Callithrix jacchus: one gene and its partners. The protein of the gene in region 1 interacts with the protein of each later gene in a pairwise test. Links are inferred from orthologs where the notes say so. Each region holds a gene or a part of one and is shown in the gene's direction. Other genes may lie near its edges.

What was found. The genes of interacting proteins can lie anywhere in the genome.
Region 2: the proteins of HTT (region 1) and TTC23 interact in binary tests that used the Homo sapiens proteins (3 or more experiments, as listed by UniProt). The link is inferred for Callithrix jacchus from reciprocal best matches to the Homo sapiens genes HTT and TTC23.
Region 3: the proteins of HTT (region 1) and PPARG interact in binary tests that used the Homo sapiens proteins (3 or more experiments, as listed by UniProt). The link is inferred for Callithrix jacchus from reciprocal best matches to the Homo sapiens genes HTT and PPARG.
Region 4: the proteins of HTT (region 1) and EVL interact in binary tests that used the Homo sapiens proteins (3 or more experiments, as listed by UniProt). The link is inferred for Callithrix jacchus from reciprocal best matches to the Homo sapiens genes HTT and EVL.
Region 5: the proteins of HTT (region 1) and KLF11 interact in binary tests that used the Homo sapiens proteins (3 or more experiments, as listed by UniProt). The link is inferred for Callithrix jacchus from reciprocal best matches to the Homo sapiens genes HTT and KLF11.

What each region holds. Positions count from the first base shown.
Region 1 is NC_133504.1:189,944,846-189,949,499, reverse strand, and holds part of HTT (huntingtin), read left to right. Parts: intron 1-1,157; coding exon 1,158-1,296; intron 1,297-2,330; coding exon 2,331-2,453; intron 2,454-4,654.
Region 2 is NC_133507.1:10,514,265-10,518,918, forward strand, and holds the end of TTC23 (tetratricopeptide repeat protein 23), read left to right. Parts: intron 1-1,237; coding exon 1,238-1,320; intron 1,321-2,427; coding exon 2,428-2,545; 3' UTR 2,546-4,421; downstream 4,422-4,654. UniProt on the Homo sapiens protein: Participates positively in the ciliary Hedgehog (Hh) signaling.
Region 3 is NC_133516.1:69,579,096-69,583,749, forward strand, and holds part of PPARG (peroxisome proliferator-activated receptor gamma), read left to right. Parts: intron 1-1,851; coding exon 1,852-2,302; intron 2,303-4,654. UniProt on the Homo sapiens protein: Nuclear receptor that binds peroxisome proliferators such as hypolipidemic drugs and fatty acids.
Region 4 is NC_133509.1:135,052,856-135,057,509, forward strand, and holds part of EVL (ena/VASP-like protein), read left to right. Parts: intron 1-951; coding exon 952-1,015; intron 1,016-2,766; coding exon 2,767-2,833; intron 2,834-2,926; coding exon 2,927-2,989; exon of another isoform or gene 2,990-4,104; intron 4,105-4,654. UniProt on the Homo sapiens protein: Ena/VASP proteins are actin-associated proteins involved in a range of processes dependent on cytoskeleton remodeling and cell polarity such as axon guidance and lamellipodial and filopodial dynamics in migrating cells.
Region 5 is NC_133515.1:104,934,942-104,939,595, reverse strand, and holds part of KLF11 (Krueppel-like factor 11), read left to right. Parts: intron 1-264; coding exon 265-1,210; intron 1,211-4,654. UniProt on the Homo sapiens protein: Transcription factor. Activates the epsilon- and gamma-globin gene promoters and, to a much lower degree, the beta-globin gene and represses promoters containing SP1-like binding inhibiting cell growth.

The sequences.
Region 1 (4,654 bases):
ATGTCTGTGGCGTGAGTGGGCGCAGTTGGCTGTTTGAGAGGCAGTAGTTATAATGCCTGTGTTCACTGTCCCGTGATGAGTTGGAAATAGGTTATCAGCTTTATCTCAGCAAAATCAAAGCGTGTCGTCTAATTGCTAAATAAGAGCTGACAAATCTGAAAGACACTACTGAATCCTTGGCATGCAGGAGTTGTATCTGCATCCTGTGGCCATTTTATCTCCTTGCAGCATTTAATCAGTTACATTTGCAGAGTCTCTGAGAAGCCTTTATCAGAGATCCTTACATCTCCTGTGTGAGTGTTTCCGTGACTGCAAAACCAGTTAAACTTTTATCCTTTTTCTTCTCTGGGTTGGGGAAGATTGTGTTTGTGAGAGGGAGAGAGACAGCAGAGAAGGAGGATATAATTACTATGCTGTATACTTTGAGCTAAAACTGCCAAAACACACACATGCACATGCACATGCACACACACAGATAATTATGCTTTGATTTCAGTCTTAAGAGTACCTTGATGGTATTTGTAAATGGGATTGGGCACAGTTTGGCGGACAGTCAGTTTGGGATGATATTTCAGTCTGTAGGGCCAAGCTATTTTACAATTTGCATTTTGAAGTTGTCACTCTCCTAGCAGATGGTGGGAGATAAACTATTACTTCTTAACCTCAGACTTAGTCTTCGGTCCAGATGAGGAAGATTAAAAGATTATAAATATCTTGCACCAGATGAGGTGATTTTATCTTGAAATGACCATAAATTCGTATCAGTTGTTTCACCGGGATATTTGTGGTGGAGTTTGTACACTTGAGTTTTAGGATAGATGATCTGTTTTACATTTATTAAGAATGCCTTTATACCACGTATTGCCTGTTGCAATGTTTTGAGTATATTCCAGAAGTGAAATTTCTGGGAAATAATAATAGAATACAAACTGTGACTTGAAAGTCAACTAGGGCCTGCATTTGTATCATGATCTGTTTGAGTGTTGGTGAGAAAACAGCTGTAAAGAAAAAGTTTTAAACAAGTTGCGTTTTCCTTTAAGAAGCCACTAAGCGTGAGTCCTTTTAGTGTATATTTCTAGACTCCTAGTTTGCGGAGTTTAGACTAAGACTAAAAAAAAAAAAATTGTGTTGTAACTTCATTTTTGTTTGTATTTTAGACACCAAAGGCTCTATTCCCTGCTGGACAGGTTTCGTCTCTCCACCCTGCAAGACTCACTCAGTCCCTCTCCTCCAGTCTCTTCCCACCCGCTGGACGGGGATGGGCACGTGTCACTGGAAACAGTGAGTCCAGACAAAGTAAGTGTCCAGCCTGTCTGCATGGGAGGTACAGGGCACATGCAGGGTGGTGCTGAGTGCCACTGTCACCTCTAGCAGATAGAGAGTGTGCAGAGGAGGTACAGTGAACCCAAGGAGTCTGGGGCTCGGCCCGAGCCAGCTTTGGTTAGAGATGTGGGGCACCACTAAGGTCCTAGGATGTGGGACCCATATGTTAGGAGTATGGGGCCCAGTAGTTAGTGGGTGAATCAAGGGAAGGTTGGCCAGGGCCTGCAGGATTCTGACTGCACAGGCCTTCAAGCACCTGTCAGTGCGTTTAGCCTGCCTCCATTTCCTTACGCCTTCTGGCCTCCTGTCAGTTGCACCACCACTGCCAGCCATTCTGGCATGTTGTCAGCACCTCCACTGCTCACACTCAGGGTTACTTAGGGACTGCCTGGAGCCTTGGTAGAGCCTTGGTACTCTACTTTCCTGGAGAGAGTTCAGCTTATGAATGTGAATTTAGATTTCAAAAACCCGCAGCCCAAGTATAGGAAAGCGAATGTTCAGTCCTGCCTTCTTAGGCTTTGTTGCACCTGCCCTGCCCTGGTTGCTGGGGAGAGACGAGCAAAGCAAAGCCCAGGGAGGATGTAAAGGGGCTGCTAACCCTTAGTGCTTTAGCTGTATTTGGAAGGACTGTTGGAAGTTCACGAGGTGACAGGGAGACTGCAAGGGTGCTCAGGCAGGTAACGGAAGTCCAAAGGTGGTGTGGGTAACGGAAGTCCAAAGGTGGTATGGCTCCCCACATAAAGCTGTATTTGGAAGGACTGTTGGAAGTTCACGAGGTGACAGGGAGACTGCAAGGGTGCTCAGGCAGGTAACGGAAGTCCAAAGGTGGTATGGCTCCCCACACCTGTGGTGTGGGGACCCATAGGGCCACAGCATGCTGGCTGTTGTCCCTCTTGGTTAGCCCAGTGCAGTGTTCCCAAGCACTGGCCTAGGCCCGTAGCTCCAGGAATGTGAAGACCCCTTGAATGCCGCCCATCATGTTCCCTGTATCCATTTTTTCTTCTCAGGACTGGTACATCCATCTTGTCAAATCCCAGTGTTGGACCAGGTCAGACTCTGCACTGCTGGAAGGTGCAGAGTTGGTGAATCGGATTCCTGCTGAAGATATGAGTGCCTTCATGATGAACTCGGTACGGGGGGGAGCAGCGGAGGCAAGGAATCCTCAACTTTTACTTGTGACTTCCAAGTGGGATTTGTCTCATCATCATGACCCACTTGTTGACAACACCTGCTGGGGACTCCACTCTGGCTATGGACAGGAGGCTGGGGAGACTCCTGTCTGAATGGGGCTGGGAAGTGGGGAGGACTCGATTTCAGATGGGGCTGGGACGTGGGGGATATGCTGATCCAGATAGGAAAGCACATTATTTCAGCCATGTTAGAATCCAAGAAGGCAAGTTGATTTCACTCAACCTTTCATGCATTTAAAGAAAATGTAGATGGTGGCCAGGTGTGGTGGCTTATGCCTGTAATCTCAGCACTTTGGGAGTCCAAGGCGGGCGGATCACCTGAGGTCAGGAGTTCGAAACCAGCCTGACCAACATGGAGAAACTCCATCTCTACTAAAAATACAAAAATTAGCTGGGCATGGTGGTGCATGCCTGTAATCCCAGCTACTCGGGAGGCTGAGGCAGGAGAATTGCTTGAACCCAGGAGGCAGAGGTTGCGGTGAGCCGAGATTGTGCCACTGCACTCCAGCCTGGGCAACAAAAGCGAAACTCCGTCTCAGAAAAAAAAAAAAAGGAGGTGATCTTGTATTATAGTCAGTTTGCTTCTTTGTTCTCATGGCAGTGAGGAAGGGTTTTGGATTGTTGTCTGAGGTCGAGAATATGAGGGAATGAAGTGTGGCCCTGGGCACTCCGATTGGCATCTGTGGTGGGGAATATGAGCGGCAGGGGAGCAGGGTAGAAACTGGATGGCAATTGGAAGCAGGCAACTGTGGAATTTGAAACAAGTTGATGGGAACCCTCTCTCAAGAGGAGGTACTGTTTTGAAATTCAGCTGGCCCCAAGGCTGGGTGTATGGTTTAGGATGAGAACTATTTGGCCTCCACCAGAGGAACAAACACGGGATTTTATCACCTACACTCATTGGCCAACACAGAATGGAAGTCAAGGTTGCATATTTGCCATAGACTTTGACACAACATCATGCATGCCTTCAATAGCATGTTTATTCTGGAAGTTAAAGGAGACTCTTGGATGCAGTGAGATTTCCTCTACCCATACCTCTGTTAGATGTAGTGAGGTTCTTCACCTCCCAATCCCAGATGTCAGAGGGCACCCTGTGCAGAGCCAGCCCAGGAGGCCTTGGTGTCCCTGTACTCCAAGCCCATGGACAGGTCCTGTGAGCAGCAGGGGCCTGCCTCTTGCGTGTGGTGCAGCTGTGGCCCGAGCAGGGTTTCCTCTCGGACCTGCTGGGACGGGAGAAACTTCCTGGTGTGTTAGCCCTGCGTCGATAAGCAGCAAATGGGAGGGAAGTGGGCACCTGGGAGGGCAAAGGCATGTAGAGCTGGGGGTGGCTGCAGGTGTTCATGAAAAGACCTTTCAGGGAACGCAGCACAACAGGGTGTTCTGACGCATTGAAGAGCTATACTGAAAACAGGAGAACTCGCCCAAAATTGGTTTGCTAAAATCGTTTAAGATTCATGCAGTGAAAGCTGACTTATGAGTGATGAGTTTGCTTAGTGATTGGCTTACTAGGTTTTTCAGGTTTGCTCTTTGGACTTGAACAGCTATAGAAGTTCTGTCTGTAGAAGAAAGCTTCAGCTTTTGGCATTAATTATGCTTCTCTGAGTATTAAACTTAAGATTGATGTTTTACCTGAAAAACTGGCCCCCAATCCTGAAATGGCTAAACAAAAAGTTGGGAAAACATAATACAGATTGTCGTAGGAAATACCATTTTTCCAACCAAAATTGTGGCATTCACATGGCTGCTTTTACTTATTTCAGCTACATTTGAACAACTTTCTCAAGCTTCAGGAATTACTGGTGTATCACTGATGTCTTAGATGACACTTTTGCTTTTATTTAGATTTTCTGTTTTATGAATTAAAATTGTCATACCAAAATTTTTATTTCAAGCAAATCCAAGAGCATTAAAAATTAAAATACCAAAAGAGAATAGAAATACATTTTACTAAACATATGTTCAATGGAATTGTTCAAACATTTATAATAGGCATAGAATAGACTATTCTTAAAAGTAGTTCTGATGGGTGTACTAATCTGTATTTTCTTAGAAACATTTGCCTTATCCTTTTTTCTGTTGTATTTTTCTTGCCTGGTTGAAAGCTCATAATCTGTTGTTACTGTTTAACCTTTAATGCT
Region 2 (4,654 bases), on another chromosome or scaffold:
GTTGGGCATGGTGGCTCAGTCCTGTAATCCAGCACTTTGGGAAGCCAAGGCAGGTGGACTACCTGCTGTCAGGAGTTCAAGACCAGCCTGGCCAACATGGTGAAACCTCATCTCTACTAAAAACACAAAAATTAGCTGGGCATGGTGGCAGGCACCTGTAATCCCAGCTACTCGGGAGGCTGAGGCAGGAAAATCTCTTGAACCCAGGAGACAGTGGTTACAGTGAGTCAAGATGATGCCACTGCACACCAGCCTGGGCGACAGAGTAAGACTCTGTCTCAAAAAAAAAAAAATAATAATAATAATATTCCAGTATTTTCATCTAAAATCTCCAAGTTTTCTATTTCACATTTAGTCCTTTAAATCTTTCTGGGCTTCATTTTTGTGTTTGGTTTCTGGTAGCAATTCACTTTCCTCCATTTGGAAAACCAGAGGTCCCAGTACCATTTATTGACCTGCCCACCTCTTCCTGACCCGTCCTGCAAGGCCAGTTCCGTCATTGTCAAGGCTTGGGCTGTCCGCTGTGTTCCACTGGTCTCTGGGTGAAAATCATGCTGTCTTAATCACTTTAGTTTTTTAAAAAAAGGGTCTTGGCATCCAGTAAAGCAAGTTCCTCCACCTCACTCTTTCTCAAAACTATTTTGGCCATTTTTGGCACACCTTTAATCTTTCTCCTCTCCTTGAGTTTGCTCTAGCCTAGTACAAGCAATCGAATGGCAAGACTTCAAGTAAGCAGAAAAGAAAAAGCAAGCCAAAGCCAGCCCTGGATAATCCATAAGCTGAATATTTGCCTCCTCATAACTAAGACATTTCTGTGTAGTAAAAAGTATAGAAAGCCCCTATATTAATAAAAGTAGAGTATGTGTTTATAAAAAACAAAAGCATTTTGTAAAAATCTTTTCCAGGCTATAGCAAGGACCATTTAAAAATAGAAACTGGAGCCCATCCACTGGTCAGTACCAAGGTTCTTGCCTTTTTTTTTAAAAATACAACTTTTAAATATATTTTTTGCATACAGATAGTCACAGAGGTTTTTGAAACAGTGCTAAAACTGTATGTTTTTGCCTAGAACACTCAGAACATCCAAATCGAAGGTCAGACTGTCACTAGAACATGCTAATTCCATCAGAGCAGGGTCTAAGAATGAAGTGATCTTTCTCTTGTTCAAGGGAGACTGTATTTTCCTGCTCTCAGCGACATTTCTGTAGCCTCATGATTGCTGCTTGGTGTTCTACAGTGTCTCCAGATCCAGACTTTCTTGTATGGACCGCAGGACAAAAAGACTCTGGCCACCCAGCAGGCCATGGGCATCCTGTCCACGTGAGTTGGCTTCCCTCACACTTTCTCTGCGTATCGCATTCCCTTTCCATTCAGAATCTCAAGAGGAAGCTGCTTCTAGAAGGTTCTATGGTTCTGCCCAGGTATTTAGAAATAATTTGTCCTTTAAGTCAGAAATATATGCTGGATGTTGTCCTCCTGCAGACAGCCCCTTGCAGGCTAAGGCACCCGCTGCAGGGGGTGGGCCCCAGAACTCCTGTGGCCTCCTGCAGCCCTGTTTCCAGCTTCCCTCTGCCCTCGGATGCCTGTCAGAACTGGAGCTGGAGAGTTCACTGACTTGACCTTGAAGGCTGCCCCCCATGTTCTTTCTGAGCCTCAGCAGAGGCCCAGCAATCTCCTGTGGAGGGCCCACCTCACAAAGCCTGGTCCACAGGGAGCATCCCTAGGGCTACCTGAGTCTATGCTCAAGGAAACAGGGCCACAGCCTGCAGCAGAGACTGAACGTGGCCAGCAGGGCAACATACCCTTTGAGGACAGGAAGGTGAGCCAGGGAGGCCTCCTGCCCAGCCCTGACCATCCTTCTCACCCATGGCCTCCTCACCAAGCCAGCTAAGGATTGACTGCCTCAGCTCAGTGAGGATGGTCACAGGGGATTTTAAAAGATGGGAGGGGCCAGGTGAGGTGGCTCATGCCTGTAATCACAGCACTTTGGGAGGCCGAGGCAGTGGATCACTTGAGGCCAGGAGTTTGAGATCAGACTAGCCAACACAGCAAAACCTCGTCTCTACTAAAAATACAAAAATCAGCCAGGCAAGGTGACATGTGCCTAATCCCAGCTACTCAGGAGGCGCAGGCAGGAGAATCACTTGAACCCAGGAGGTGAAGGTTGCAGGGAGCTGAGACTGGGCCCCTGTACTCCAGCTTGGGTGACAGAGTGATACTCGTCTGAAAAAAAAATTAATAAAAAATAAAACATGGGAATAAAACATCTAATGTTCTATGCTCTCATGCCACAATTATCCTCTCATTTATAGCCCCTCCTGAGGCTTCTCCTAGATGGGTCTGGACCTGCTGGGCAGCAACGGCTGGATGGGAACAGTGTGGGGGCTGAGGGGCACCACACTCACCCCACCCTCTGCTTGTCTGCAGGGCTCCCGAGATTGCTGTGAAGCCAAGGCAGGCATCAAAAGGCAAAGTGGCCTTCTGCACCAGCATCCCTCAGGACACCATGCTGAGGAAGGCCCGGCCCAGCACAGCAGCAGACTGAGGCCCCCACCCTGAAAAAGCCTAGGACATTCCTGGGCACTGCCAATCAGGGTGCTGTACACATCTGTCTCCACCTAGAAGATGGAATTCAATAGTCAGGATACAGACTTTCAAGGCCAACTGTTGGCTCCAACATGCAACAGTGAGACCAAAAGCCTCCTGTGGGCCACACTGTGAACAGTGGATGCCCTTCAGGGTGATATATGCTAGAAAGCATTTTTCTTTTAATCACCTAAGTGTTTTTTCTTGCCAACAAGAATTTTTGGCCATCAGCACTACTGTGGCTGAAACCTCTCTTCAGAAGTTCAGAGCGGCCTCTGCAGGAGTCAGCCTGGATCTACTGGTACACACAAATCCTTGCATAGGTCTGGAGTCAGATCTGGAACACTAAACTCAGGAAGAAGCCCTTTCTCATAGGAGGTTAACAGGGATCAAGAATAACATGGGAAGAAAATGCTAATAAAGGGAAACTCTAATGCGCTGGTATCGGCATGTGTTTTCAAAGTGCAGCCTGCCTCAGAGTTCCTTGGAGCCTGAAAGGGGGTCAGAGACAGCTCCCTTTATGTGTGTCCTTGGTCACTCTTTGAACTGTGTCGAGCACCTGGTATGTACGTGGCATGTGCTAAGAACGGGGGGCACGGCAATAGACAAGACAGTCACAGCCCGGCACAGCACCAGGAATTAGTGCTGTGGGATTGGTAGGCAGCAGGGGCAGCACCCGTGAGAGCAAAAGAGCAGAGTGGGAGGGGCAGGAGGCCAATGCACCGGACTCGGTGCACCTAACTAAGCCTGGGCCAGGAGGCAGGTGTAAGGGACTGAAAAGAAAGGCCAGCAGGACGCTGCAGGAGGGTGGCACTGATTCCCTGCTGCTTCACATCCTGTCTGGCCTCTACTCCAGGCAGGACAAATCCGGATGCCACCTGGAGCTGCTTCCTGAGTTGACACACTGTCGTGTGCACAGAAGTCTTCAGCTCCCTGGAGGGAGGCCTTAGTCATGTGAGGCTGGCCAAGTCTAACAGGAAGATTTGAGCATGTTTTCCACAATGTCAAAGATGAGATCCAGTGCCAGATTGAGATGGATGGAGCACCCAGAAGTAGGGATGCAGGTGTGGGCAATGCCGTCCCTTCTCTTCCCTCCCCTCATCCCACAGACGGTGGCCAGTGAGGCTGTAGGCTGGTACTAGGATGGCAGCAGATTGCAGCACAGGGGGCTGTCCCTCCAGCTCCCTCTGGGACATCTAAACCATCCTGGGGCCATCTGTGCAGGGCCCCACCTCAAGAATTGAGGGGGAAAATAAACTCAATAGAGTCACAACAGGGTAGAAAAAAGCAGGCTCCATGTCTTCCTCAGAAGCGTGACACCTGACCCTACAGACCATCCTTGCTGGTACATGCTGGTCCCAGATCCTGGGCCTGCAGGACATCAGCAGTGTGCTAAAAAGGTGTAAGATGTGGTCACTACTCATCATGTGTCCTATCTAAGTTGACACGGGCGGAGTCTGCTATGGGCTGAATGTTTGTGTGCCTCCAGTTCATGTTGAAGCCCTAATCCCCAAAGGGATGATATTAGGAGGTGGGGCCTTGGAGAGGTGATTAGGTCATGAGAGTGGAGCCCTGATGAGTATGATTAGTGCTTTATAAGAAGAGACACAAGAGAGATGATCTCTCTCTCCACCGTGTGAGGACACAGAAAGAAGGCAGCCATCTGCAGGCCAGGAAGAGAGCCCTCACCGGGAAGCGAATCTGTTGGCACCTTGAGACTTCCCAGCCTCCAGAACTGTAAGAAATAAATGTCTCTCAGGTTATGGCTCCCTGTTAGAGCAGCCTGAACTGAGAGTCCATGCTGGGTTTTTTAATAAATGTGCATCCTGATGTTACTTCTTCCTTTCCGTATTTCTTGAAAGGTATCTTGGAATCACAAAAGCTAAAACACATTTTTTAAATTTAGCGCCACCCCCCCCCACCCCAGGAAAGCATGAATTTAGGAATGCTCCCTCCAATGTCTCCCATCTGTTAATTCTGTTGACTTCAACAAGGGAGGAAGACTACAGCTACTTGTGTTTTTGTTTTTGTATTTTTGGTAAAGGGGCTACAAACAGGTAAGGATATC
Region 3 (4,654 bases), on another chromosome or scaffold:
ACTTCTAGAATAACTCCAGTAAATGGTGTTGATGTGACGTACAAGTTTGGAAATATTTAAGATCTAAGAGTCCTTAATGTTGGTGTTATTTCCTCCAGTGTAGAACAGACTTAATATTTTGATGGAAATCATAGAGTTCCGCAGAGATGAATAGAATCTCCAACCAGTGCATCTTGAAGCCAGTTGCCACGGCCACTCATGCACCTTCTCTCTGCCCACTCAGGAGAGAATTCTCAGCATCTGTGCTCAAAAAAATCTTTACTTTTAGTCCATCAGAGACTTCATGTTTGTTGTGCATACACACTCACACCTCTCCACACATATGCCCACCCCCTACACACATCCTGCTTCTGAGAAATGCAGCTAGAATTTCCCCCAGAGAAGAGATGGAAACCCCTGATGAAGAAATTTCAGGTCTAGGAAAGGTAAATGACTTTCCTTAAGTCACATAGTTCACCACAGAACGAAAACTAGAACCCAGATACCTTCAGCTCTTCTTCCAGTGCCTTCAGGTACACAAGTATTTGAACAGGATTCAAGGTTTAACTCCTATATGTCATTCACTGTATCCAGTGTAAGTAGAAGGTTGCCCTTAGAGCAGCCTTGAGAACTTCTCAGTGACTACAAACCTTTGGTTAGTTCTATACAAGGAAAGTCAGAGAAAGATCAGGTCATGACCAAACAACTTAATTTTTGAAAACAGCCGATTGCAAACTTGAATAATTGGGGCATGTATTTTATTGATTGTTTAACCTGTAAGGACAAATATTTTAAAATATAAATTCAAAACCCTTTTTTGCCACTTTTTGCAGCAGTCCCCTACAGGCTTTCTGAATCTGCTCTTTCTGAAATAGATGACTTCCAGAGCATTAAAAAAAGAAATAGACATTTTCTTGGTTCAATAGCTCAAATCTGCTTTCAGAGTGATTTTGTAATACTTAAACACATTTCATATGCACATAGTTTCATTTGTGATCTTAGAGGATGTCATCTAAAACTGAAAAGTTATTACCTGTGAAGGAGAACAAAGGAAAAGGAAAAAAAAATAAGAAAAACATGTTTTTTAAACCTGAAAAGTTACTTTATGTTCAAGTGAGTATTCTCAACCCTGAGTTGCCAAAATGACTTTTAATTGAAAGAAGGCCAAAAGTGTATTTCATTGAAAGCCAAGATAAACAGTAGATTTTGTATCATTTTAGAAACAACAAAAAGCTGGGCACGGTGGCTCACGCCTGTAATCCCAGCACTTTGGGAGGCCGAGGCAGGCGGATCACTTGAGGCTAGGAGTTGAAGACCAGCCTGGCCAATATGGCCTACTAAAAATACAAAACTAAAAATACAAAACTCTACTAAAAATACATCCCTACTAAAAATACAAAACTCAGCCGGGCATGGTGGTGGTGCCTGTAATCCCAGCTATTCAGGAGGCTGAGGCACAAGAATCGTTTGAACCTGGGAGGTGGAGGTTGCAATGAGCCCAGATAGTGCCACTGTACTTCAGCCTAGGTGACAGAACAAGACTCTGTCTCAAAAACAAACAAATAAACATAAAAATCAACAATGAAGACTCCCAAACAAGAGACATTGGGATTCCTGGCAGTCATAGGTTAGGTGTTATAGTATAAATTGAAGAGAAAGAAGACCGAAATTGATGAAATACCTTTGGTCTCAGAAGACAATTAAGATGAATAAAAGAACTTGAGAATACGTCCTCATTATTAAGCGTCTTCAGCTTTAAAGATTTTAATTAACAAAGCAAATTTACATAACGAAACAGTTTTCTGAACTGGGATGACATTCAGTGTAAGTTAGAACTCTCCAATTCAGCCACTTTTTCTGTTTTATTTGCAGCCATTCGTTATCTATGACATGAATTCCTTAATGATGGGAGAAGATAAAATCAAGTTCAAACACATCACCCCACTGCAGGAGCAGAGTAAAGAGGTGGCCATCCGCATCTTTCAGGGCTGCCAGTTCCGCTCTGTGGAGGCCGTGCAGGAGATCACAGAGTATGCCAAAAGCATTCCTGGTTTTGTAAATCTTGACTTGAATGACCAAGTAACTCTCCTCAAATATGGAGTCCACGAGATCATTTACACAATGCTGGCCTCCTTGATGAATAAAGATGGGGTTCTCATATCCGAAGGCCAGGGCTTCATGACAAGGGAGTTTCTAAAGAGCCTGCGAAAGCCTTTTGGTGACTTTATGGAGCCCAAGTTTGAGTTTGCTGTGAAGTTCAATGCACTGGAATTAGATGACAGTGACTTGGCAATATTTATTGCTGTCATTATTCTCAGTGGAGGTAAGATTTGTCTTTTGATCTTCTGTGAGAGAGGGTGGGAGGATGGTGGGATGGCCAAAATTTTGAATTTCCTTAGTATTAGTCTGCGTTCGTTGTCACATTAAGTGCCAATGGCATAATGCCATGAATCATCACTACACATGCAAAACACTGTACCAAGAAAGAATATCAAAGGTTTCTGCTATGAAGGCTATGGGTAACCCGGGATCTTCTCTTTCATCCCACACAATATATTTTTTTCCAGTCAAATGCCCTCTTCTTGTTTTCCTTTTTCCTTTGTTTCCTTCTTTCTTTCCAGAAAGGAAGATTAGAGGCCAGTCTAATCTCTGTTTCCTGTAAGTAATGACATATATAACTTTGCTTCAGACATTGTTGACTTGGCCTAGAGAAGGTACTACTAAGTGTTTCTGCTCGAATTATGCTCCTGCGCTATCATCAGTAAGATACTGTTTTGAATTGCTTTTCTGATATCAGAAATTAAGGAATACCTACTGACCTCCACCCACTCTCTTGTGTGGATTCCTCTGATGGCTCCCTTAAAGTACCTTTATGAAGTAGTTGGTTGTGATTAAGAATGCAATGTGAACCGAACACACAACATAGAGATAAACTGAGTTATTTAGCAATTTGTTGTATTTTTGGCCTTGGAAGTATATTATCTGACTAACCAGTTCCAAAAACCAGATTTCCTACTGAGTGTGACTTTTTTCTTTTCTTTTTTTGTTGTTTGTTTTTTGTGTGTGGGGCAAGGCCTCACTCTGTCACCCAGACTGGAGTGCAGTTGCATGATTATGGCTCGCTGCAGCTTCTAACTGCATTTAGTAAGCTATGATCATGCTACTTCATAGAAGTAATACATGGCCATTTTACAGTTCGGCTCAAGTGATCCTCCCACCTCAGCCTCCCAAGTAGCCAGGACTACAGGAGCACACCAGCATGCCCTGCTAATTTTTAAAAAATTTTTTTAGAGGTGAGGTCTCATTATGTTGCCCAGGCTGATCTCGAACTCCAGACCTCAAGCAATCTTTTTGCCTTGGTCTCCCAAAGTGCTGGGATTGTAGGCATAAGCCACTACACCCAACCTAAACCTTACTTTCATTAGCCTCTCATGAGGTTTTACTTTCATCTCTCTGTGTAAAAATTGTTTCTGAGTAGCGGGTTTTCCTGTTGAAGTGGACTTCATGTGAGCTTTTTATATGTACTCTACAGTGAATTCTCTGTTTCTGAAAAAGCCATCAGGGGATAGTGGTAAACTGTGTATAACTGCACACTGGATTATAAAGAGCATGATCACTGTGTGGTCTTTTGTTGTCCAGTTGAAAGGAGAATGTTTCTGAAATCATGTGCATAGTACAGTAGTCATAAGAATAGCAAACATTTATTTAGTACTTCTTGTGTGCCAGGCAGTGTTCTAAGCACCTCATGCATATTTATTCAACCCTTACAACAATTCAGGGAAGTAAGGGCCATTTTACAAATGAGGAAACCAAAGCACTGAGAGGTTTTCTCATTTGCCCGAGGTCACGTGTCTAGCAAAAGATGGATCCATGATTGTGAATCAGGCATGCTGGCTCAGACTCTATGCTGTTTACCATCACATCATGCAGAATACCGCCCTTTAAATGCCTAGGGAGCAAATAGATCACAATATGGTGTAGTTTACCTTTAGAGCCACAAGTCCAGGGTCAAATAACTACTTGATATTATATTTAATAGAACAAAAATATACTACCTGGCATGGTTTAATAGCTTGACCAAATCTACCTAAATTAATCCTTGACTCTGTAGTATATTTTATTAATTTGGCAAAAAAGGATGAGATTCCAGTATATAAGAGGTTTGCCAGAAGAAAAATATTAAATTTTGAAAAATTAGATTTGAAAAACAGTTTATATTACTTAGCTAGTATTTTATTTTACTTTTATTTTATTTTTTGAGATGGAGTCTTGCTCTTCTCGCAGTGGCGCGATCTCTGCTCACTACATCCAGGTTGTCTGCCTCCCAGGTTCAAGTGACTTCTGCGTCAGCCTCCCTAGTAGCTGGGATCACAGGCATGCACCACCACACCCAGCTAATTTTTGTATTTTTAGTAGAGCCAGGCTGGTCTCAAACTCCTGACCTCAGGTGATCCAATCACTTCCACCTCCCAAAGTGCTGGGATTACAGGCATGAGCCACTGCACCCAGCCTATTTATCTACGATTTTATTTTTAATAAAGGCACATTTTATTTTTAATAAAATTTGGAAATATACTAATATTTAATTTATTTCAAATATTTTTCCTGAGCTTACTATATATCCCATGTCTGTTCTTTTCACTGAATCAGTTTCCCATTTCATTACATACTCTTT
Region 4 (4,654 bases), on another chromosome or scaffold:
AGCAAGACTCTGTTCAAAAAAAAAAAGGAAAAAAAAAATCTAATATTTTACCGACTCTAATGTCAACCTATATAGCTTTCATCCTGGCCTCCACATGTGTTTGTTGACTGACATAATCTGTTCTTCAGGTATCTTTAAAATGAGGAGGCCTGAGGACCTCATCTCAACACCTACAGCCTGGTACCTGGTTTTGCCCTCGACCAGAGCCTCCCAGGACTTATTCACCCGACAGATAACACAGGGCATTCCTGATAGGTGCCACGCCTCTTCTTGTGTGGGGACGTAGTGAGCAGAGGAGACAAAGCAAAGACCTCTGCCCACGGTGACAAGGGCAGAAGTTCTTTGCTTGGGATCAGAGTTACACATCAGGTTGGGTGGCTGCCTGTCAGCAGCTCAAATGCTGTGCATTCTGCTTCATCAAGTGAGAGGATTACTCTTATTACTTAACAAGTGGCATGTTCTTGGTGCTGAAAATCATCCTGATGCACATGCCATGCACAGCGAGTGTTGGGTGTTCCCACTGTTGGACACACATCCACCCGTCGAGCATTGCCACAGACCTGTCACAGGGGCAGCTGTGTGTGTGCTACATGGGGGAATAGGTCCCTCCTCGGCATGCTTGCAAGAAGTCAGCGAGATGACACACAGGAGGCATCTGGCCCATGGGGCTCAGGGCTTGGGGTGTTGAGGGCCAGAAAGGAGTCTGCACTCCTCTGCAAAGGTCCTGGAGCTTCCTGCAGCCTTCCCCTTCCCCTTTGTCCACAGGCTGGATTCACTCCCCACTGAGATTTGGGGTTTTCAGTTTTAAATATTTAATGTTTTGCTAATTATAAAAGTTGTATGTGTTCACTGGGAACATTTGGAAAACTGAGGTTTTATAGAGTGCCCAGTGGTGTCCTGCCCCAGCCCCAAGCAGTGTTCCTAAACAGACTTCCTTCTTCTCCATCTTAGGAAGATCCTAGTACCTCCCCCTCTCCGGGGACCCGAGCAGCCAGCCAGCCACCTAACTCCTCAGGTGAGATGGCGCCCCCACTGACCTCATGTATGAAGCAAACAGGGCAAGGGGGCATGTGAGGCATGAGGTCTCAGAGTGGGGGGAGCACCCTTCAAAGAGGACTCTCTGATCCAGCCTCCTCAGTTTGCCTGAGCAGAGAGCCAGGCCACACAGAGGGAAGCCCAGTTCTTATGAGTCCCCCAGAGCATCCCCCAGGAATCCATGCAGGAGCATAGGAAGTGCTAGAACAGAGTCACCGTCATGGGTCCCCAGAGTGGCCTACGCGGCACCTCATTTCCCACCAGGACCCTGAGTTCCGCATGAGGGAAGGCACTTGCCTGATGGCACATATTCAGGGTGGGGGTTTGTGTCCAGGGCTCCTGAGTGCAGGCCGGGGCCAGTGGTCTTAAGAGGGTCAGCGTCAGGACTCATGTCTCCCATGAAACGCCAGCTGGTGACTAGCGTTACAGATATGGCAGTGGATCTTGCTTCACCGAAATGCAGCTCCTTCCCTGGCTCAGGTTTCCCGTCAGAGCTGTGGCAGGTGGGAAGGAGGAAGGAGAGAATGATGAGGTGACAAGGGCAGAGGTTCTCTACATAAGCCTTAAGAGGAAGTGGGAGGAAGACCCCAGGGTTGGTTGTTCATTCAACAGACATTGGCGCAGCACCTGCTCTGTGCCAGGCCTGTGCTCATGAGCATGGCAAGGAGAGGCAGGGGCGTCAGGCTGCCCAAGCTGGGCATGGGAGGCGCTTGCCAGCTGTTCATGTGTCTCTCTGGGGCATGCTCAGGTTGAGTGTCACCTCACTGTGAGACTGTACACCGTGTCCTCTCCTCCTAGGACTTTTGCCTGGCAGGTCGATTTGCCATGATGCATAGGTTCTTGGCTGATGAACGTGAACAATGCCCCTGCCCTGTTTGCTTCTTACAGCAGCCCAGTGAGTGGGCTATGTGTTTGCATCTGTATGATAAGTGGTTTGCTCAAGGCCACACACCTGGGACGGGTCTGTGGCCCCAGGTCTAGTGCCTGCAGTCCCAGCACCTGTCCCAGAAGGTGACTTTGAGGAAAACTACCTCAGTCCCACAGTTGGTCTGCAGGGTACCACAGCCAGGCAGCTTCCCCACTACCACTAGAGATTTTGTCTTCTGTCTCTGCTCATCCTGCAAAGTCAGCAAATTCAACTTAATGCAACAAATCTTTTGGAGTAGGCCAAAATATAATCCAATACCACTTACCTTGAAAAAGAAAAGACAAGCCAGCTGAATGGGACAGAGCCAGGCACAGCATGGGGGCCAGCTAAGGAGCCCGTCAGCAGCAGGTGCTGGGCCTCGGGTCCTGGCTGCACAGCTCATGGGAGCAAGGCTGCATTGGGAGTGTCTGGGGAGGTCCTGCCTGCTTCCCCTTCAGCCCCGTTCGCTGGGTTGCTTACCAGCAGGCCCACGTTCCAGAGAAACCTGACCACAGTGAAAGGACTCAGAACGAGGTCACAGGTCAGGGTCAACCAGGTCAAGGGAACAGGAGCTTGAGTCCTGGAGTAGGGGAGACACAGGGTGACGACAGTGGTGCCATCTAAAGCCCTCAGGGGGCTGGCCTAGGCCATGGGGGACTGAGAACAAGAAGCCAGGTTTTGGCTCTGCTCAAATTAGACCTTCTTGCCATGGGGCTCTGCACCCTCAGCATTGGGGAGAGCTTCCTTTTGGATGTTGAGGGGATTAGGGTGGCTCCTGAGTCCTCTCAGGTCTAAAGTTCTTCATCCATGAACCGAATTGACAGAGACTGGCCGGAAGCCCTGGGAGCGGAGCAACTCGGTGGAGAAGCCTGTATCCTCGATTCTGTCCAGGTGAGTGGCCCAGAAGGCCTGAGCAGCAAGGCTGGGGTGGGCAGAGGCGGGTGCTGGCGCCGATTCACATGTCTGTTTCATTCCATGCTGTAGAACCCCGTCTGTGGCAAAGAGCCCCGAAGCTAAGAGCCCCCTTCAGTTGCAGCCTCACTCTAGGTACTGAACAACCCTCCTGCTCACGTGTTCTCCAGGGTTGGGGCTCCTCTGTCCCCTGTCCTGTGACTAACACCTTGCACCCTGTCTCATGTCTTGGCATTTAACAGCTTGCTCTGGGAAGGTGATCTGTTCTTTCAGACCCAGGACCTCAGGGTCCTGTCAGTCAGCTCCTCCTCCTCCCTCTGAGGGAGAGACCGAGGCCCGGGGAGGGCAGTGACCTGTCCACAGATCCAGTGCAGGGGGCTGACTTGGAGTCTCAGCTCTGGACTCACTACATGTGACAGTGAGCAAGTTAGGGGAACTCTCCAGGCCTCTTTTTCCCCCTCCCCCCACAAAACAGGTCGGTGAATCCCTGCTGCACAGGGCAGTAGTGGGGACAGCTGTGCAAACAACAGCTGGACATGGTCACTAGGCGTGGCTGCAGCCAGCAGCTCAGCTAGTCCTAGGACTGGCCCTGAGCCCCACACCCTCTCCTCCAGCCCACAGTCCTTCCTCTGCGTCCAGCACAGAGCCAGTTTCCCCCAGACATGCTGACCATATTTCCCAAACCAAAAGCTGGCATGACAGCACGATAGAATATTTGGAACTGAGGTTGCCCAAAAAGGTGCAGGCAGCCACATCGTATCTGGAGGCCCACGTGGCCTGAATGTGAAGCCCTCTAGAACCTGCATCAAGAAATGTCTCCATTGCCACCAGAAGTTGAAGGGAACCCACCCTTGTCACAGAGGAGGAGGCACTGAAACTGGCCTTGCGGAGCGAAACGGGTGACAAGCCGAGCAAGCCCTGGCCTGTCCCTGGCAGAAATGGCCAAGACCAGGGCAGGGGGACAGAGATGAGGAAGTCTTAGCAGTCAGCTGGGGTTTGTCAAAGGCTTGTGGCCAGCCAGGCCGTGTGCTGGGGACAGTCCCTGCCTGCCAAGATCACATGAGAACAAGGCCCCTGTGGTCCTGAGGGGTGCTCCAGCAAGGGTGTGGGGCCACGTGGTGGAAGGGACAGGGTGCTTTGGGGAGTGGGGCAGGGCAGGCCTCCGTTGGGAGCTGGCATTTCATTGACCTGGACGAGGAGGAGCCTGCTGTTCGGAGAGCATGGGGACAGCCTTCCAAGCTGAAGGAAGGGTAAGTGCCAGGGCCCTGAGCCTGCAGCCACCTGCCAAGTTCTCCCACACCTCGCACCTCGGAGCAGACAGCAGGCCATGGGGCATGGGAACGGGAAGGGTGAGGAAGAGGGTGTGAGGGAGCACGGAATTAAAAGTTTGCATTGGATTCATGTGCAGGACTCCAGCCAGGGAGCTTGAGGCACAGGATGCCATGATGGGAGCTGGGAAGGGGAAGGCAACCAGAGTGGGCAAAGCGAGGGTCCTGGAGCAGACATGGCAGCCGGAGGATCCTGTAGTGCTCCCGGCCGTGGTCTGCTGATGGAGTGAAGGCGGGCTGCAGTGTTCTCTGAGGGGCCAAGGGTCGCTCAATGGGCAGGAACGTTGTCAAGGCCATTCATGCTTGGAATAGAGTCTCTCTTCAGCTCTGAGACAAATCTGTTGTCTAATTTCTAGATGGCTCCAAAGGGAGCATGTACCTCCACCCCTCTAGGGCATCCCATTGCTTAGGAAGCCTGCTGTGTGTATCACTGGGTGGCTGTCGGGTGCAGATGGAGAGGGCCCAGTCCTGG
Region 5 (4,654 bases), on another chromosome or scaffold:
GGAAGCGGTGGGCCTGCTGGCCAGGAGCTCCTCAGAGTTCCCTGGCATTGGGCCCTTGGGCAGATCTGGGAGGGGTGAACACTGGGAAAAAGCTGAGAAAGTAAAGTGCCCCATGCAGCCTTGAAACCCACTGGGGCATTGAAAACAGGCTTAGCTGAGTCTCTAGATGATTCTATGTAAAGGTATTGGGAGCATTGTGATCAATTAAATCCCTTTTAAAATTTAAAGCAGCCTTTTCACGTGGTACTTTTTTTTTTTTTTAAGTGCATAACTCCTCCTCAGAGCCCCGATCTCATGGAGCCATCGACAAGGACACCTGTTTCTTCCCAAGTAACAGATTCCAAAGCATGCACAGCCATGGCCGCCCTCCAGTCCTCTGCTGTGGTGGCCAGAGCACTGAATGGGGCGGTGGAGAGGGGCCTGCCGGGTTTGGAGCCAGTGCCCAGCTCTCTCTGCAGGGCCGTGGGGACCAGCGTGATCCGACACACTGGGGAGAGCCCTGCTCCTGCCTGCTTTCCCACCACCCAGACTCCAGATGGCCAGCTTTCTGACAGCAGAGAAGAAGAGCAACTTTTGGGACCCTTTGAAACTTTGCAGGATGCACGCCTCACAGACTGTTTACTCAGCACTAACGCGGTGTCCTGTCAGCCTTGCTTGCACAAGCCTGGTGGCCTGCTCCCCACTGATGGAGGCCAGCAGGCAGGGTGGCCTGGTGCAGTGCAGACTTGCTCACCAAAGAATTACGAAAATGACCTGCCCAGGAAAACCACCCCTCTGATTTCTGTCCCTGCTTCTGCTCCCCCTGTCCTTTGCCAAATGATCCCTGTGACTGGACAGAGTGGCATGTTCTCAGCTTTTTTGAAGCCGCCTCCCCAGTTGTCTGTGGGGACTGTGAGACCCATCCTAGCCCAGGCTGCTCCAGCTCCACAACCTGTATTCCTGGGACCTCCTGTGCCTCAGGGAGCTGTGATGCTGGTCCTGCCCCAGGGCGCCCTCCCTCCGCCTGCCCCCAGTTCGGCCAGTGTTTTGGCTTCGGGGAATACCAAGTTGTTGCCCCTCGCCCCTGCGCCAGTGTTCATCGCCTCTAGCCAAAGCTGTGTCCCTCAGGTAGACTTTTCCCGAAGGAGGAACTACGTTTGCACCTTCCCAGGTTGCCGGAAGACCTACTTCAAAAGTTCCCACCTCAAGGCTCATCTTCGCACTCACACAGGTAAGCACCAGGGCAGGTAGGGCATTGGGCACACCAGACCCTGTGGTTAGGAAACACACCTGGAGCTGCCTTTGGGTGAGAGGGTGTCATGAGAACTCCTGGTGGAGGGGGAAGGGTGGCTTTTTCTTTGGTTCTGAAAAGCCTGCACAATCCTGTAAGGGCGGGGTTGTGAGCACAGCCTTCAGGAGTTTGCAGACGGCGCCAGCTGCTCACGCTGAGAGAAGAGGTAGTCTAGTTCTGTGATGGTGTCTTTCGGGAGCTTTTAGAGTGACTCACAGTGCCCCCTTGTGTTCACATTGCAGTAGACGGTTTATTTTTATTTATTTTTAAGAGAACATGCATTCACGTTCAGTAAATATATCTTATCAGTGTTACTTACGTTCATTGTGGGAAGGTCTGGCCAAACTATATTAAAGTTAAAATTCTAAAATTTTTTTTAAAGAGTATAGTTTTCTTACCTCTGAAAGTAGTTTTTACTTTAAAGTAAGTTCCACAAGACTCTTCTGACCTAATGATCCGTTGTCTAACCAGCTCTGTCCAACTGAATTTTCTGCAATGGTGGAAATGTTTGCTGTCTGTCCTTTAGGGTAGCCACGGCCTGCTCACATTTGAAGTGTGGCTAGTGTGCCCGAGGAACTGAATTTTACACTTTTAAATACTTGAAGTTTAAATAGCTCCATGGGACCTGTGGTTTCCCTGCCGCCCACCAGTGTTCTGGGTGTTGCTGGATAGAATGGCTCCAGTAGGTGAGGGCACCATTTCTCAGGCGTTCTGTGAGTTTGTGTTCTCTTGCTCTGATCATGGTGGCCTCCACGTGGAGAATGAAGCGCTATCTGGTGTTCAGACACTGTAAGAGGAACTCTACTGCTCCCCCATTCTACCGAGTGGATGTTTCCTTCCATGATAAGGCCAAACTTGGCCATGAAGTAGTTGCCTCTGCCCGTGCAGAAACAGCCTCCCAACCTTCTGTTCTATATTTCCACTCTCCCCCTCGGCCCTCTGTCCATGTCTACTTACCGAGAGCCTCCAAGGGCCCCCCCAGAATTAGTTATTAGCTTGTTTCCTTATCTTCCTTTCTTCTTTGGCCCCAGTCGTTTATTGTAGGTCTCACCACATTCTCCCTTTGCTTTTTAGTTACTTATATATTAATCTCACCTGGATATACTCCTGGTGCCTGATGATACAAGGGTGTGACACTAGTTAGTAAATGAGGGTTGGTCGTTCACATGGCGGATGGACTTGGGGGCTGCGTCAGGGAACCAATGCTTCTGATGAAGTTGACCTGCTTGCCTCTCTTAACGGGCTTGTTGACTTGGTGAGCTCCACATTTCACTGGGGCTGTGCAGGGGAACTTCACATCACACTGGAGCACAGCTTCCAACTTTGGGGAGGTGACTGAATTAGGTTTTGCTGTTTCAGTTTTCCTTGGTAAAGTACTGACGGGATGATTTACAATGATTAAAACAAGCTTCTTCCATGTTTCCTAAAGTACTTCCAATTAAATAACTGGCCGGGCGCAGTGGCTCACACCTGTAATCCCAGCACTTTGGGAGGCTGAGGTGGGCAGATCACGAGGTCGGGAGTGTGAGACCAGCTTGGCCAACATGGTGAAACCCCATCGCTACTAAAAATACGAAAATTAGCTGGGTGTGATGGTGCGTGCCTGTAATCCTAGATACTCAGGCAGCTGAGGCAGGAGAATCACCTGAACCTGGGACGCGGAGGCTGCAGTGAGCCAAGATCGCGCCACTGCACGCCAGCCTGGTGATGAGTGAGATTCTACCTAAAATAAAATTTAAAAAAATTAAAAAAAATAAATGAGCATAAGAGTTCTGAAGAATCCCCTTCTGTGCCATTTTGTAGACTTGGAGTTTTCATGAGAAGTAGAAACTGGGCAAGTTTCCCTTGGCTAAGACCACTTTTTATATATATTCCTACCAACCTGAAAGGTCGTTAAATTGGAATAAGCTAGAGTGAATGGATGCTACATTTTTTTTCTTTATTTTTCCACAAGTTATTGGGGTACAGGTGGTATTTGGTTACATGAATAAGTTATTTAGTGGTGGTTTCTGAGATTTTGGTGCACGATGCTACATTTTTAATTAATTAATTTTTATTCTTGGTAAAGACAGGGCCTTACTTTGTTGGCCAGGCTGGTCTGGAACTCCTGGGCTCAACTGATCCTCCCTCCCAGCCTCCCAGAGTGCTGGGATTATAGGCATGAGCCCCTGTGCTTGTACTTGGCTTGATTTATTTTTAGTTTTAGATATATTTTGAAAGATTAGCTTGAAATCTTTGGGTGCTAACAACATACTGCATCTTAAGTGTGGCAGGAATAAATGCTTTATGGAGGATTGACCCGGATCATCCAGTTCCATGTAGGGCTGATGGCCCCACACGGTCGTGGGGTGTCCCTTATGCTGTGCTGAGACGCAGGATCTGAGAAATAAAGAGACAGGACACAGAAGTACAAGGAAAACGCAGCTGGGCTTAGGGGGCCATGCCACCTGTAAGCAGAGTTAGGCGAGGCCCCAATGTCCCGAAGCATGAGTATTTATTGTGTATAGGTTAGGGGGCAGGGCAGTGAGTGAAATCATCTTTAAGGATAGTGATAGGGTCACGAGCAACAGAACATGGAGTCCACCCCCATTAGGTCACCTAGGCCAGGAGGTGGACAGTTCGCAGCAAGGGGCCCGTTCCCATGAAGGGGCAAGGGCCGGGTGCAGTAAGGGGTCCAGCCCCATCAGGTCACCGAGGCTTGAAGGTGGGTCATGCACAGTGAAGAGGGTGCAGTGTGCAATACTTTTATCTATGGGCAAACTACTTTTAAGATGATTTATAGGAGGATATTTTAAGTCACATAGCAGTGACAGAGCTGTTAAGGTTACCGCCACCTTCTGGCAGTTTCCAGTGAGTTTTATAGGAAGATGCTTTTTGAGCAGCATAGTAGCAAGAGCTGATAAAGCGCATACCAAGGTGGATTGCCGTTCGGAGGGCAGCCTTCCACGAGAACTGGAGCAAGGTCCTACAACTCCTTATCAGGAGGAGTGGCTCTCGCCGCAAGCCTGCCATAGAGCGGGTATCGTTACAATACTGAACGCTGCCGCCTGGGCTATGGATTCTTGTCCTGGTATAACTGTTTTTCCCTTAAATCATGCTCTGCACTGTGTTTACTCTAGACATTCCTCCAATTATAAGCTACTTATTCCTTAATTCATGCTCGGTACTGTGTCCACTTTAGGCATTCCTCCGATTATGAACTAAAATATAATTATATGTAGGGAAATATTCTTTAGGCACTCATACTATCAACTGTTATATGATTATATAGAGAGGATTATATAAAGGAGTTCTTTAAGCTCTCATTCTATAAACTAATATGATTATATAAAGGCTTATATAAAAGGAAATTGCTGAGTAGTAACACTATAAAGTGAAATATTC